Callithrix jacchus: one gene and its partners. The protein of the gene in region 1 purifies or fractionates together with the protein of each later gene. This does not show direct contact. Links are inferred from orthologs where the notes say so. Each region holds a gene or a part of one and is shown in the gene's direction. Other genes may lie near its edges.

Region 1 (4,251 bases):
TTTCACCTTGTTGACCAGGATGGTCTCGATCGCTTGACCTCGTGATCCACCCACCTCGGCCTCCTAAAGTGCTGGGATTATAGACGTGAGCCACCGCGCCCCACCGAGACAGGGTCTTGTTCTGTCACCCAGGCTGGAGTGCAGTGGCGCGATCTCGGCTTACTGCAGTCTCCACCTCTCGGGTTCAAGTAATTCTTGTGTCTCAGCCTTCTGAGTAGCTGGGATTACAAGCACCCGCCACCACGCCCTGCTGATTTTTGTATTTTTAGTAGAGGCGGTTTTACCGAGTTGGCTGGGGTCAAGGGATCCACCCACTCCGGCCTCCCACAACCTGGTAATTTTTGTGTTTTTAGTAGAGGCGAAGTTTCACCATGTTGCTCAGGCTGGTTTTGAACTCCTGACCTCTGATGATCCGCCCGCCTCGGCCTCCCAAAGTGCTGGGATTACAGATGTGAACCACCGCGGCCGGCCTATTTAAGAACTCTTTAAGGACTTGTAGAATAATAACAGAAGCAGCCCCAATTTACCAGCTGGGTTGTGTAAAAAAAGAAAAAAAAGAAAAAAAGGGAAAGGGCATATTTCACAGTAGGAAGGACTTTATCATTGTGGGGGACACAAGGGACAGCAGAAACAGTCTTGCAGTCCAGAAACTGTGCATTATACAGGACACCATGAAAAGTTTGGTTTTATCAGTAATTTTTGAGTCGTGGAGGGCCTTGAAGTTGCTGTTAATATGATTTACCCAAATTACTTCAACTGTATTCTATACAGTTGGGCCTTGGGTGGACCAGTCTCAGTCAGGTAACAGTGTGGGACCCAGTTAAGCAACTAAGGAAACAGTTTTGGGCTAGAAGGAACCTTAAACAGAAGAATAGCCAAAATCTTATTTTATATTTATTTATAAAAGAGACAGGGTTTTGCTGTCGCCCAGGCTGGAGTGCCGCAGCATGATGCCTCACTGGCTACATCCTTCTAGGTTCAAACCATTTTCCCACCCCTGCCTTCCGAGTATCTGGGACTACAGACGCACAGCACCACGCAGGACTAATTTTTGTATTTTTTGTAGACATAGGGTCTCACTATGTTGCCTAGGCTGGTTTCGAAGTCCTGGGCTCAAGCGATCCGCTCCTCTCGGCCTCTCAAAATGTTGGGATTACAGGCGTGAGCCATTGCGCCCGGCCTGCCAGTGTTTTGCAGAGCGGCATCCTAGTACCACCAGAATCAGAATCACCAGTCAAAGGTAAAAATGTCAATTCAGACCAAGTACATCCCTAAGGAATTTTCAGTCTAGGGCTTTAAGATGGCTTTCTTAAGAGGCGCGCGCAACCGGGTCTTCCTGCTACTGCGCTGCGACCGCGGTGGTGCTAGTGGGTTCCGCCGCGTCCCGGCCCCGCCCCGTCCTGCCCTACTACTCGCGGCCTCGCTCCACCCCTCCCGGCCTCCTGCCGCAATCTTGGCGGGAAGGCGCCGGCCGCTAAGCAGCCGAAAGATGTCCGGGTCGGACGCGGCGGCTGAGAAGGCGAACTCCAGACAGCGACCCCAGATGAAGGTGAGAAACGGGTTGGTGCTTCCGGGTGTGCTTCTGCCTCGGTTTCTGTGGGGTTCTGCGGGATACAGGCCTGGGAGGTCGAGAGCACCTGGCATTGGGGGTAGGCGGGGATCCCTGCCCTGAGGCCTTCAGCGTCGTCGAAAAGTTTAATCAATAATCCTAGAAATAGCGGGAGGGTCAGATCTGGGATTCGCTTTCTTCAGCCTTCTGCGTTTGCTTTTGTCACACTTATGGTCAGCTTCACACTCTAAATCATTCCATCCGCAGCTGGCAGTTGCGGTAATTGCCTCTGTCATAAATGCTAGTCATTATTATTATTGGTCTGGCAAACTCTTATGGGCAAGAAATATGCCAAGTAAATGAATTCTATTGAGGTTAAGGTTAATGAATTACATATCTAGATTTTGGAAGGGAGAAAAAGTTTTCTTACAGGCTATCAATTTGGATTTATTTATTTATTTGAGACAGTTTTGCTCTGTTGCCTAGGCTGGTGTGGAGTGGCGCAATCTCGGCCCACTGCAACCTTCGCCTCCTGGGGTTCAAGCGATCCTCCTGACTCAGCCTGCCGAGTAGCTGGGATTACAGGCATGCACCACCACACTCAGCTAATTTTTCTATTTTTAGTAGAAGCGGGGTTTCATCCTGTTGGCCAGGCTGGTCTTGAGCTCCTGACCTCAGGTGATCCACCTTCCTTGGCCTCCCAAAGTGCTGGGATTACAGGTGTGACCCACCTCACCTGGCCTCAATTTGGATTTATATTGTCATCGTGAAATGGGAATTATTAGATCTGTTAGGGATCCTGTAAGGAAAGGCACAGAACTTGGAATTCTTATATTCTCTTTTCTTTTATTGATCTGAATAGGTAAATGGATATAAAGAAAATCAAAACATCGCTTATGTGTCTCTGAAACCAGTGCAGACTACAGTTTCAATAAAAACAGCTACAGTCTATCTTACCCCCTTTTCACTCAGTAATTATCAGCTAGACCAGCTTATGTGCCCCAAATCCCTATTAGAAAAGAATTCTAACAATGAAGTGGCGTGTAAGAAGACTAAAATAAAGAAAACTTGCAGAAGGATTATACCTCCAAAGATGAAAACCACATCTTCCAAGGCAGAATCCACACTGCAAAATCCATCCTCAGCTGTTCATACTGAAAGTAACAAGTTACAACACAAGAGAAGGACAGATGCGATGAATCTCGGTGTTGATACGGAAAGTAGTCAGGATGGAGACAGTGCTGAAGATATCACACCAGGCCTGGTAAGAACTTAATTAGTAGCTTGTTCTAGTTTCTCTTAAAGTTTGGAAATTTGATGTTCTGATAAAGCGAAGTTTATCAAGGATCTCTCTAATACAAACAAATTATTTCATCATTAATGTGTAACAATAAATTTCTATTATTTTTAAGGTTTAACAAGTAACTTACTTGGATTAATTTTGCTCTTGCTGTGTGTCAATGAGAGGATTGACTTAATCTTTACTCTGTTTCCCTTTTACTCCCTCTAAACTTACTGCATTTATTTTTGGGCTTACTCATACTTTATGGTGCCTTGCTCACCATTACATGTTTATGTACAATATATCAGAAGTCGTCAGTTTGTGGGACATAAGGTATTGACTGACCCTTGATATCAGGGTAGGGAAACATTAATTAATTATATTGATTTGTTGAATATATTTCCTTTAAATGCAAAAGGGGACAAATGACAGAGTAGAGAAGATACATGAGAAACACATTAGTTCTATATAATTTCAATCAATTTAAGTAATTTGGTTTGTAATTCTTTTGGCTTCTGCCTACCAGGAGGGCTGTGCTCCATTCAAAGTGACAAACTTTACACAGGACAAGATAAAACCAAACATAGTACATAACACAATGTTGCTGGAACTCAGGGAACAGAAAATGATAGTAGGTAAAGGGAGATACTATAATTGAAGGGCATTGTTATGAAATAGAAATTTGGTTTATGTGCTCTCATCCCAGAGTTAAGAACCAGGACTCATAGTGAAACAGCATGGGGTAAGTGTTAAATGAATTGGACTTGGGGTTGAGAGTCTAGCACAGCCATTTCTAAGAAACCTGTTCCTTTAAACAAATCACCTTAGTGAGGGGACTGGATAAAATCTGTGGTTCTCAAACTTTAGGCTATATCAAAATTACCTGCAGAGTTTAAGACTGGATTGCAGGGCCCCACCCTCAGAGTTTTTGATTCAGAAGTTTTGAAGTTGGAGCATACAATTTACATATCTTTTTTTTTTTTTTCCTTTTTTTTTTTTTACTTTAATAGAGACATTGGGATGTTGTAGGGGTAGGGGTGTGTGTTGCCCAGGCTGGTCTTGAGCTCCTGAGCTCAACCAGTCCTCCTACCTCAGCCTCCCAAAGTGCTAGGATTATAGGCTTGAGCCACCACATCCAGCCCAATTTGCATATTTAACAGTTTCCTAGAGACACTGATGTTGTTAGTCCAGAACTGCACTTTGAGAACCACTGGATTAGATTATCCCTTTTGCCTTTTAGACTGTAAGATTCTGAGAATACAAGGTAAATATAAAGCAGATTTTAGTTTGATGTAAAGGAATAGGTCAGTTATTAGAGTTGTTCCAAAAAAAAAAAAAAAATTAAAAATTAAAGAAGGCAGATGGATCCACCTGAGTTCAGGAGTTCAAGACCAGCCTGCCCAAAATGGTGAAACTCCAT
Region 2 (3,651 bases), on another chromosome or scaffold:
CACTGCTTGAGGGAATGATTCATGTAGTTGATGCTGCCCTGTTTGATTGTGTGTCTGTTTTTAAAACTTTTTATAAATTTATAATTTTGAAGTTTCCATCACCGGAATGGGACACGGTGACTCCTGAAGCCAAAGACCTCATCAATAAAATGCTTACTATCAACCCTGCCAAACGTATCACAGCCTCAGAGGCACTCAAACACCCATGGATCTGTGTAAGTAAAATTTCCCAAAACTTCAAGAGCTAAAATGAAAAATAAGCTCTCCTTTAATATATTGTTTATGGATTTAAAATAATTTTGCAAAAAAAAAGAGGAAACTCAGAAAGAATGAATTTTTGACTCAAGGTGTTTAAGCAAATGAATTGTATGATGGCAAAAATGCAGTTTTCAATAGCAAATTTTGAATAGCCTAGATTGCTAAATAAACATTGCTTGCAGTAGCAAAGGAATGAGTATACTCCATATCAATTATTGACAATACTCATGAATGAGGCTAAGAAAATAACACCAAAATTAAATGTGTCCCAGAAGAAAAGATTTAACAAAGTTCAATTATTTGTCATTAGGCAACTTTAGAAACAAGTATGAAGTTTGGTGGCTGAGAGTAGTTTTAGTGGCATAAAAGAATGGTCATAATAGTCTGAATGTATTTTTAAAATATTAAGAAAAATAGTGTGAAATTTGAGGGGGATCTGGAAACTTCAGTAAATTTCCTAATGTGTCAGTTGCTAAGGGAACAAATATGGCACTAAGTAAATGAAAGGTAGTCCAGTCAAAATGTGATGAATACACTGAAATAAAGACAATTTGAGAAATTATTAATATTGATTTCTGTATTTTCTGTACATCAATGTTGCATCTCAGTCACAAGTAATCTTGGCAAAACTGAAATTTTATTTTTAGGTAAGTTTGGCCATTGAATACTTAGAAGTTGATCATGCAGGGTGCAGCACCATTAATAAAGATTTGATGAAGTCAGGGATATTATATTTAGCATGTTTTACATATTCTCAATTAAGTCACTTTTTTTCCTCCTCTTCTAGCAACGTTCTACTGTTGCTTCCATGATGCACAGACAGGAAACTGTAGACTGCTTGAAGAAATTTAATGCTAGAAGAAAACTAAAGGTAAGAAATTTTACATTTTTATGGGGAAGTAGATTTGGCAGACTGAGAAGTGAAATACTATATGAGGAAAATAACTTCTAGCAAAGACTTTCAGTTATGTAGACCTCAATACTCTCATTATTCTTTTTTTGGGTCTTGGGAAAATGGAATATATACCAGAATCAAAACTATGATGAAAAGCTCAAATCATTCTGGCAACACATGCTGTGGGTCCTTTCTTCAATGGAAAACAGCTGTGCAATTTGATAATGAGAATCTGGCCCGCACATGAGGGCGGTCCCAGCATCATGAAAGACAAAGGCCTTTGACTCTCAGGAAACCAAAAAACAAAAACAAACAATCAAAAATCCCCTAACTGAAAGTAGGGCCAGTAAAAGCTTTGTTATCAAAGACGGTATATTTGTTAGGTCCAGGGTTTGCATAGGCAACATTGACTTCTGTGTTCTAATTTTTTTGACAGGGTGCCATCTTAACAACTATGCTGGCTACAAGGAATTTCTCAGGTACATGCATTGATTACTCTACTTCTTATCCTTTGGTGTTCTTTTTAAGTAGTCTCTGTTTTTTTGTCTATGGAATTTAAAAAATCTAATAATTAGAAAAACCTCATTGTTCAGGGGTGGCAAATGTGTGGCACAGATTCCTTCTACACCTGTGGCTGCCATTAGCAGTCTGCCTGGGAGCTGTCTGCCACAGAGCCTCTGTGACTGCACCCCTCACAAGAGTGCTTCTGGCAGCTCTGGCCACCAGTCAGTGCTGGTGCAGAACTAGCCTCATCTGTCAAATGCTGGGGTGTGTACAAGTTGTGGAAATGAATACTCCCTCATTTGCAATCTCAGCATTTCACACCTAGAATTTACTATTGATATTTCATAAAGTAATAACTATGAATAAGTTATTTTTGGTCTCATTTTCATAGGGAATTCCAGTATGCAAGATTTTTAAAAGAAGACCATTATTGAGGAACCAGTTCTCTTAGACCTAAGTTCATTCAAAAGTATAGTAGTTCCTTGGCATGCTATAAGAATGATTACAACTGTCAAAGGTATCTAACCCAAGAATTTACAGAGCATCTTACATACAGTATTATCAGTGCATAATAAATTCTTCCTCAAAATGATTCCATGGTTAAAATAAGTTTGTTAAATAATAAGCTAAAAGAAAGCAAACCAAGGCTGGGCATGGTGGCTCACACTTGTAATCCCCGCACTTTGGGAGGCCGAGGCAGGCGGATCACCTGAGGTCAGGAGTTCAAGACCAGCCTGACCAACATGGAGAAGCCCTGTCTCTACTAAAAATACAAAATTAGCCAGGCATGGTGGCACATGCCTGTACTTTCAGCTACCCAGGAGGCTGAGGCAGGAGAATCGCTTGAACCTGGGAGGCAGAGGTTGAGGTGAGCTGAGATTGCACCATTACACTCCAGCCTGGGCAACAAGAGTGAAACTCCATCTCAACAAAAAAAAAAAAAGAAAGAAAGAAACCAAACCATTTCTTTATTGTAAGAGTCACTCTCTAAAAATTGAGATAAAGTATATATTACTCAAAGAAATTACTTGAGTTTTGCAACCTTCTTCTTTGATAGATTATCTCAAAGGACCATGTTCCCAAAAGTCAAATCTCGTTCAATGCTAAGCAGTCTTATGTGGGGGGAAGGACTGGAGCAGCATTTAAGCTGCACTTGGTAACCTTTGGCCCTTTAGACTTGGAACACTTGTTAAGCGTTAGTGCCAAAAATACTACCACTTTAGTTTGTGTATTGTTTACATAACAGTGATCTGCAGCACCAAATTATCCAGCTGTTTTTTCAATTCTTTATTTTCTGCTACATACTTAGCCTGGGTGTTATAGTGTTACCTGATAATAATCCATCATATCATTGCTAAGTGTTCTTCAACCAACTTCTGCTTATTATTTACAACTGTACTAGGCGGTCATTTTCCTCCCCCACCTTTGCATTTAGTTACAATTAGTGGGAAACCATAAGAGGCCTTTCAAAGGCTGTTAAACAACCACAGTAGTACAATGAATAATGCTACAAATTAAGGGACTGTGTTGGTCCGTTGTATGTATTTTGTCCAATTTGTTTAGTGTAATAAAACCTTGTTGCTGCCTTTGTCAAGTTACCTGTTTCATAAACAGTTGATTAGTATGGTTGACAGTTATATGGGTGAGTTCAATGCCATCTCATTAAATATTAATTCATATATACTATATTCAAATAAATTTCACTGTGCTCCAATAATTAGTGAATCATTAAAAGGTAGGATGATTTATGTAGTATAAATTGTTAATGTCAACCTAACCCAAACTTTTAAAAATCTTCAGATTTAAAATTGTACATTTTGTCAAAGTGTTAAATACAATCTTGGACATAAATTGGGCCTTGATTAATGTATGTACCCATATATAGAAGCTTTCTGTTTACCTCACAGTTTCCTTTTCATCATCCTGTAAACTAAAAATTCATGACTAATATGTGATTTTATATTGTTTCTGAATGTCTTAGCATGAAAGAGCAA
Region 3 (3,651 bases), on another chromosome or scaffold:
TGCTGTGCTCTCATATTTTCTGTTTTATACATTATTTTTTGATTTTGTAGTAACTTCCAGTGGAATGCTTTATACCAGGAATGTCCAAGGGAGAGAAAACAGTCATGGGTTCTTAGTTTCTGTTTCTGGTTTGGCCAGTAAAGCTCCTTCATCATCCCTCCTTTCTGCTTGTCACTAGAGAGAGAAAATCCATGGCTTTCAAGCTGCTAAAAACCTAAAACAAAGCAAAACAGCAACAACAAAATAAGGCGGGTTGGACAAGCTTGCTTTTATACCATCTAAGAGCTTGGTAAATTGGACTTTAATAGCTCTAGCTTTTTTGAAATAGTAATAAGATAAAGCAGACAGCTTTATAAGATTTACTAAGGCTGCTTTGAAGTATTAAATGTGATACCGTTCTTATATTTATTATAGGCTTTCTGTTGGATAAAAAAATTGGAGTAAATCAACCAAAACGAATTGAAAATGCTAAAATTCTTATTGCAAATACTGGTATGGATACAGACAAAATAAAGGTATGTAACTCTACTTCTTAAAAATTCAGATTGCTGGCTTCTGTAAACTGAAGAATCAGTCACACTAAAAAGCTTGAAATATGTATGAATCTGTTGTATATATATACATATATTAGTTTTTGATATGTATGTTAGTAAAAATGTTGAAATATGCTATGGGACTCTTTTTAAAAAAGAGTAATGAAACTGATGCTCTTTTTATGCTTTTCCTTATCTTAGATATTTGGTTCCCGGGTTAGAGTTGATTCTACAGCAAAGGTTGCAGAAATAGAACATGCGGAAAAGGAAAAAATGAAGGAGAAAGTTGAACGTATTCTTAAGCATGGAATAAATTGCTTCATTAACAGGTCTGTTTGCTTGCAGGAAAGGATTTTTTTTTTTTTTTAATGAAAATGTAAGGAATAGTTTACTTACACTGAGTTAGTGATTTGTTACTTAGGAACTGCTATACATAACGTCACTTAAATTATGGATTTTCATAATCAGTAAATTGTGATTTATGCACACTGTGGCCAGAATTATGGGATCAATATATACAGTTACTTTAATAAAGAACACCTGTTTTCAGTGCTAGCATAGATGTGCTAGTATTATAATTGATAAATTCCAATTATACAGGTAAGAAAAGCAACCTTGTTCTAATGTAAAAATGTTTACATGTTTTTTAGTCTAATGTAGTTTATCTTGTAACAGTTTTGAGCATAATGTTTTTATGTATTTTATTTACAGGCAGTTAATTTATAATTATCCTGAACAGCTCTTCGGTGCTGCTGGTGTCATGGCTATTGAGCATGCAGATTTTGCAGGTGTGGAACGCCTAGCTCTTGTCACAGGTATGGAAGAAAGGTATTGTTTTCTAACGAACACAGTAGTCACTCTTGGATTTATTATTTGTTACTATATACAATTTGCTGAGAAAACAAATGAGTCTCTTTAAGGAGTTAGAATTTCAACAGTTATTCTGAAATCTAATTCATACTCTTCAATACCTTTAATTTAGATACATTATATTTACTATACCAAATTATATGCCACATTTGCCATTGGTACAGATTTTTTTCATTGTGTCATTGTTTTAAAGGTAGATTTTTGGCTGGGTACAGTGGCTTATGCCTGTAATCCCAGCACTTCGGGAGGCTAAGGCAGGCAGATGACTTGAGCTCAGGAGTTTGAAACCAACCTGTGCAACATGGTGAAACCTGTCCCTACCAAAAAAAAAAAATTAGCCAGATGTGGTGGTGAGCACTGTGAGCGTAGCTGCTTGGGAGGCTAAAACATGAGAATTGCTTGAGCCCTGGGAGGTGAGGTTGCAGTGAGCTGAGATTGTGCCACTGTGCTCCAGCCTTGGCAATGAGACCGTGTCTCAAAAAAAAAATTTTTTTTTTCTCTCACAAACCTGTAAGACCACTGTTAAAATCTGAACAAACTAGAGCTTTAAAAAGAAGTCTTAAGTTTCTTTACCTTTATCTAGTTTGTTCATTTATTTTTATTGCCAAGTAGTTGAGTGCTTTGTGTCCTGTGTAGTAGTAGTACAGTTAAAATAATAACCTTTATTGAACACACTGTATGCTGGAGAGTGGGTCAAGTACTGAAACATTGCTTTTGTTAATTTTTAAAAATTTCTGAAAGCAATAAATGTTAGAATAAGTGAAAACAGTCAACATTGTATAATGAAAATTAGTATATCTCTATACCCTTTAATAGAAGCGTGAGTGATACAATCCAGTTGTGTCAAATAGAAATTGTGTTTATAAATCAGATATATCTGTTTACATCAAAATGACATAATGGTGCAGGCTGATTGCAGTGGCTCATGCTTGTAATCCCAGTGCTTTGGGAGGCCAAGGCAGGAAGATCACTTGAAGCCAGGAATTTAAGACTAGCCTGGGTAACATAGTAAGACTACCTCTACGAAATATTAGCCAGGCATAGTGGCATATGCCTGTAGTCCTAGCTACTTGGGAGGTTGAGGCAGGAGGATCTCTTTAGCCCAGGAGTTCAAGGCTGCAGTGAGCTACGATCCCATCACTACACTCCATCCTAAGTGACAGAGCAAGACCCTGTCTCTTAAAAAAACAAAAGTGTAACTTGTTGCTCTTTATTCTGGTAATGGTTTAAAAAAATTTGTTTTATTAAATTTTTATAGATTGAGCGGGTATAAGTATAGTTTTGTTAATTCTAAGTAGCCCTAGAAAACTAAGTTTAACAAATGTTTCCAGATTTTAGGTCCTTGAAAATGAATGAATAGCTTGGAAAGTTGGTTTGAGAATGGGAATTAAGGAGACCTGGAGGCCTGTGTTAGGAGCTGTGAAGTCAGTAAAACTGTCATACTGTCTGGAATGACCATAAGTGTTAGAAGAAATTAAAGTGTACTAACATTTGAAGAGTGGACTTGGTCTCATCTCAGATGATCTCTTAAGACATTTTTTTAAATAATTTGAAAAGCATAATCTTCTGACCAAGAGGCATTTTCCTTTAATTACTTGAAGTGGATTTGCCTCCTTTAAAGTTCTTTAGGAGCTGTTGCATACTTGATGCTTTAAGGTGACACATAAAATTTAAGATGCTCATGTTTATGTGATTTTTTAGTGCCACAAAATGAAGATTTAAGAAATTCAAGTTGTATGATGACATTGGTTCTTGCAAGTGTCATTAAGTAAGTGTCTTGTGTTGGGCATGGTGGCATGTGCCTGTAGTCTCATCTGTTCAGGAAGCTGAGGCAGAAAGATTGCTTGAGCTTGGGGCTGTAGTGTGCTATGATGGTGTCTAGTGAATAGTCATTGCACTTCAGTCTAGGCAACATAGCAAGACACTGTCTCTTTAAAAAGAAAGAAAAAAAGTCCTAAGATCAGAGTCTTTATGAATTTATTGTAAAATAAATAATAGAGCATTGGCAGATTTATCAGTAAGGAATAGGAAAAGAAGAGTTGATTGATAATATATGGAATCCACATTATGAAATGAGTAGTCAGCTAGAGAAAAGGATTTTGACATGGAAACCTAACTTTTGCTTAGGAAGTAGGGAATGAAATGGCTGACCTCTTCAGTTTACAGCATGGAAGATGGAGGGAAAATAGGAAGAGAAGTGAGACATAAGGACTATAATTAATTTATTCTTACTGAATTTGCTCTGGGA

Evidence for each region.
Region 2: the proteins of WDR76 (region 1) and CAMK2D purify together in Homo sapiens (affinity purification with mass spectrometry; 3 studies listed by BioGRID and IntAct, counting the BioPlex papers as one, with this or other methods). This does not show direct contact. The link is inferred for Callithrix jacchus from reciprocal best matches to the Homo sapiens genes WDR76 and CAMK2D.
Region 3: the proteins of WDR76 (region 1) and CCT2 purify together in Homo sapiens (affinity purification with mass spectrometry; 4 studies listed by BioGRID and IntAct, with this or other methods). This does not show direct contact. The link is inferred for Callithrix jacchus from reciprocal best matches to the Homo sapiens genes WDR76 and CCT2.

Annotation. Positions count from the first base shown.
Region 1 is NC_133509.1:31,488,111-31,492,361, forward strand, and holds the start of WDR76 (WD repeat-containing protein 76), read left to right. Parts: upstream 1-1,436; 5' UTR 1,437-1,489; coding exon 1,490-1,549; intron 1,550-2,411; coding exon 2,412-2,813; intron 2,814-4,251. UniProt on the Homo sapiens protein: Specifically binds 5-hydroxymethylcytosine (5hmC), suggesting that it acts as a specific reader of 5hmC.
Region 2 is NC_133504.1:83,672,751-83,676,401, forward strand, and holds part of CAMK2D (calcium/calmodulin-dependent protein kinase type II subunit delta), read left to right. Parts: intron 1-92; coding exon 93-215; intron 216-1,045; coding exon 1,046-1,129; intron 1,130-1,589; coding exon 1,590-1,632; intron 1,633-3,651. UniProt on the Homo sapiens protein: Calcium/calmodulin-dependent protein kinase involved in the regulation of Ca(2+) homeostatis and excitation-contraction coupling (ECC) in heart by targeting ion channels, transporters and accessory proteins involved in Ca(2+) influx into the myocyte, Ca(2+) release from the sarcoplasmic reticulum (SR), SR Ca(2+) uptake and Na(+) and K(+) channel transport.
Region 3 is NC_133510.1:72,142,355-72,146,005, forward strand, and holds part of CCT2 (T-complex protein 1 subunit beta), read left to right. Parts: intron 1-414; coding exon 415-515; intron 516-734; coding exon 735-862; intron 863-1,244; coding exon 1,245-1,348; intron 1,349-3,651. UniProt on the Homo sapiens protein: Component of the chaperonin-containing T-complex (TRiC), a molecular chaperone complex that assists the folding of actin, tubulin and other proteins upon ATP hydrolysis.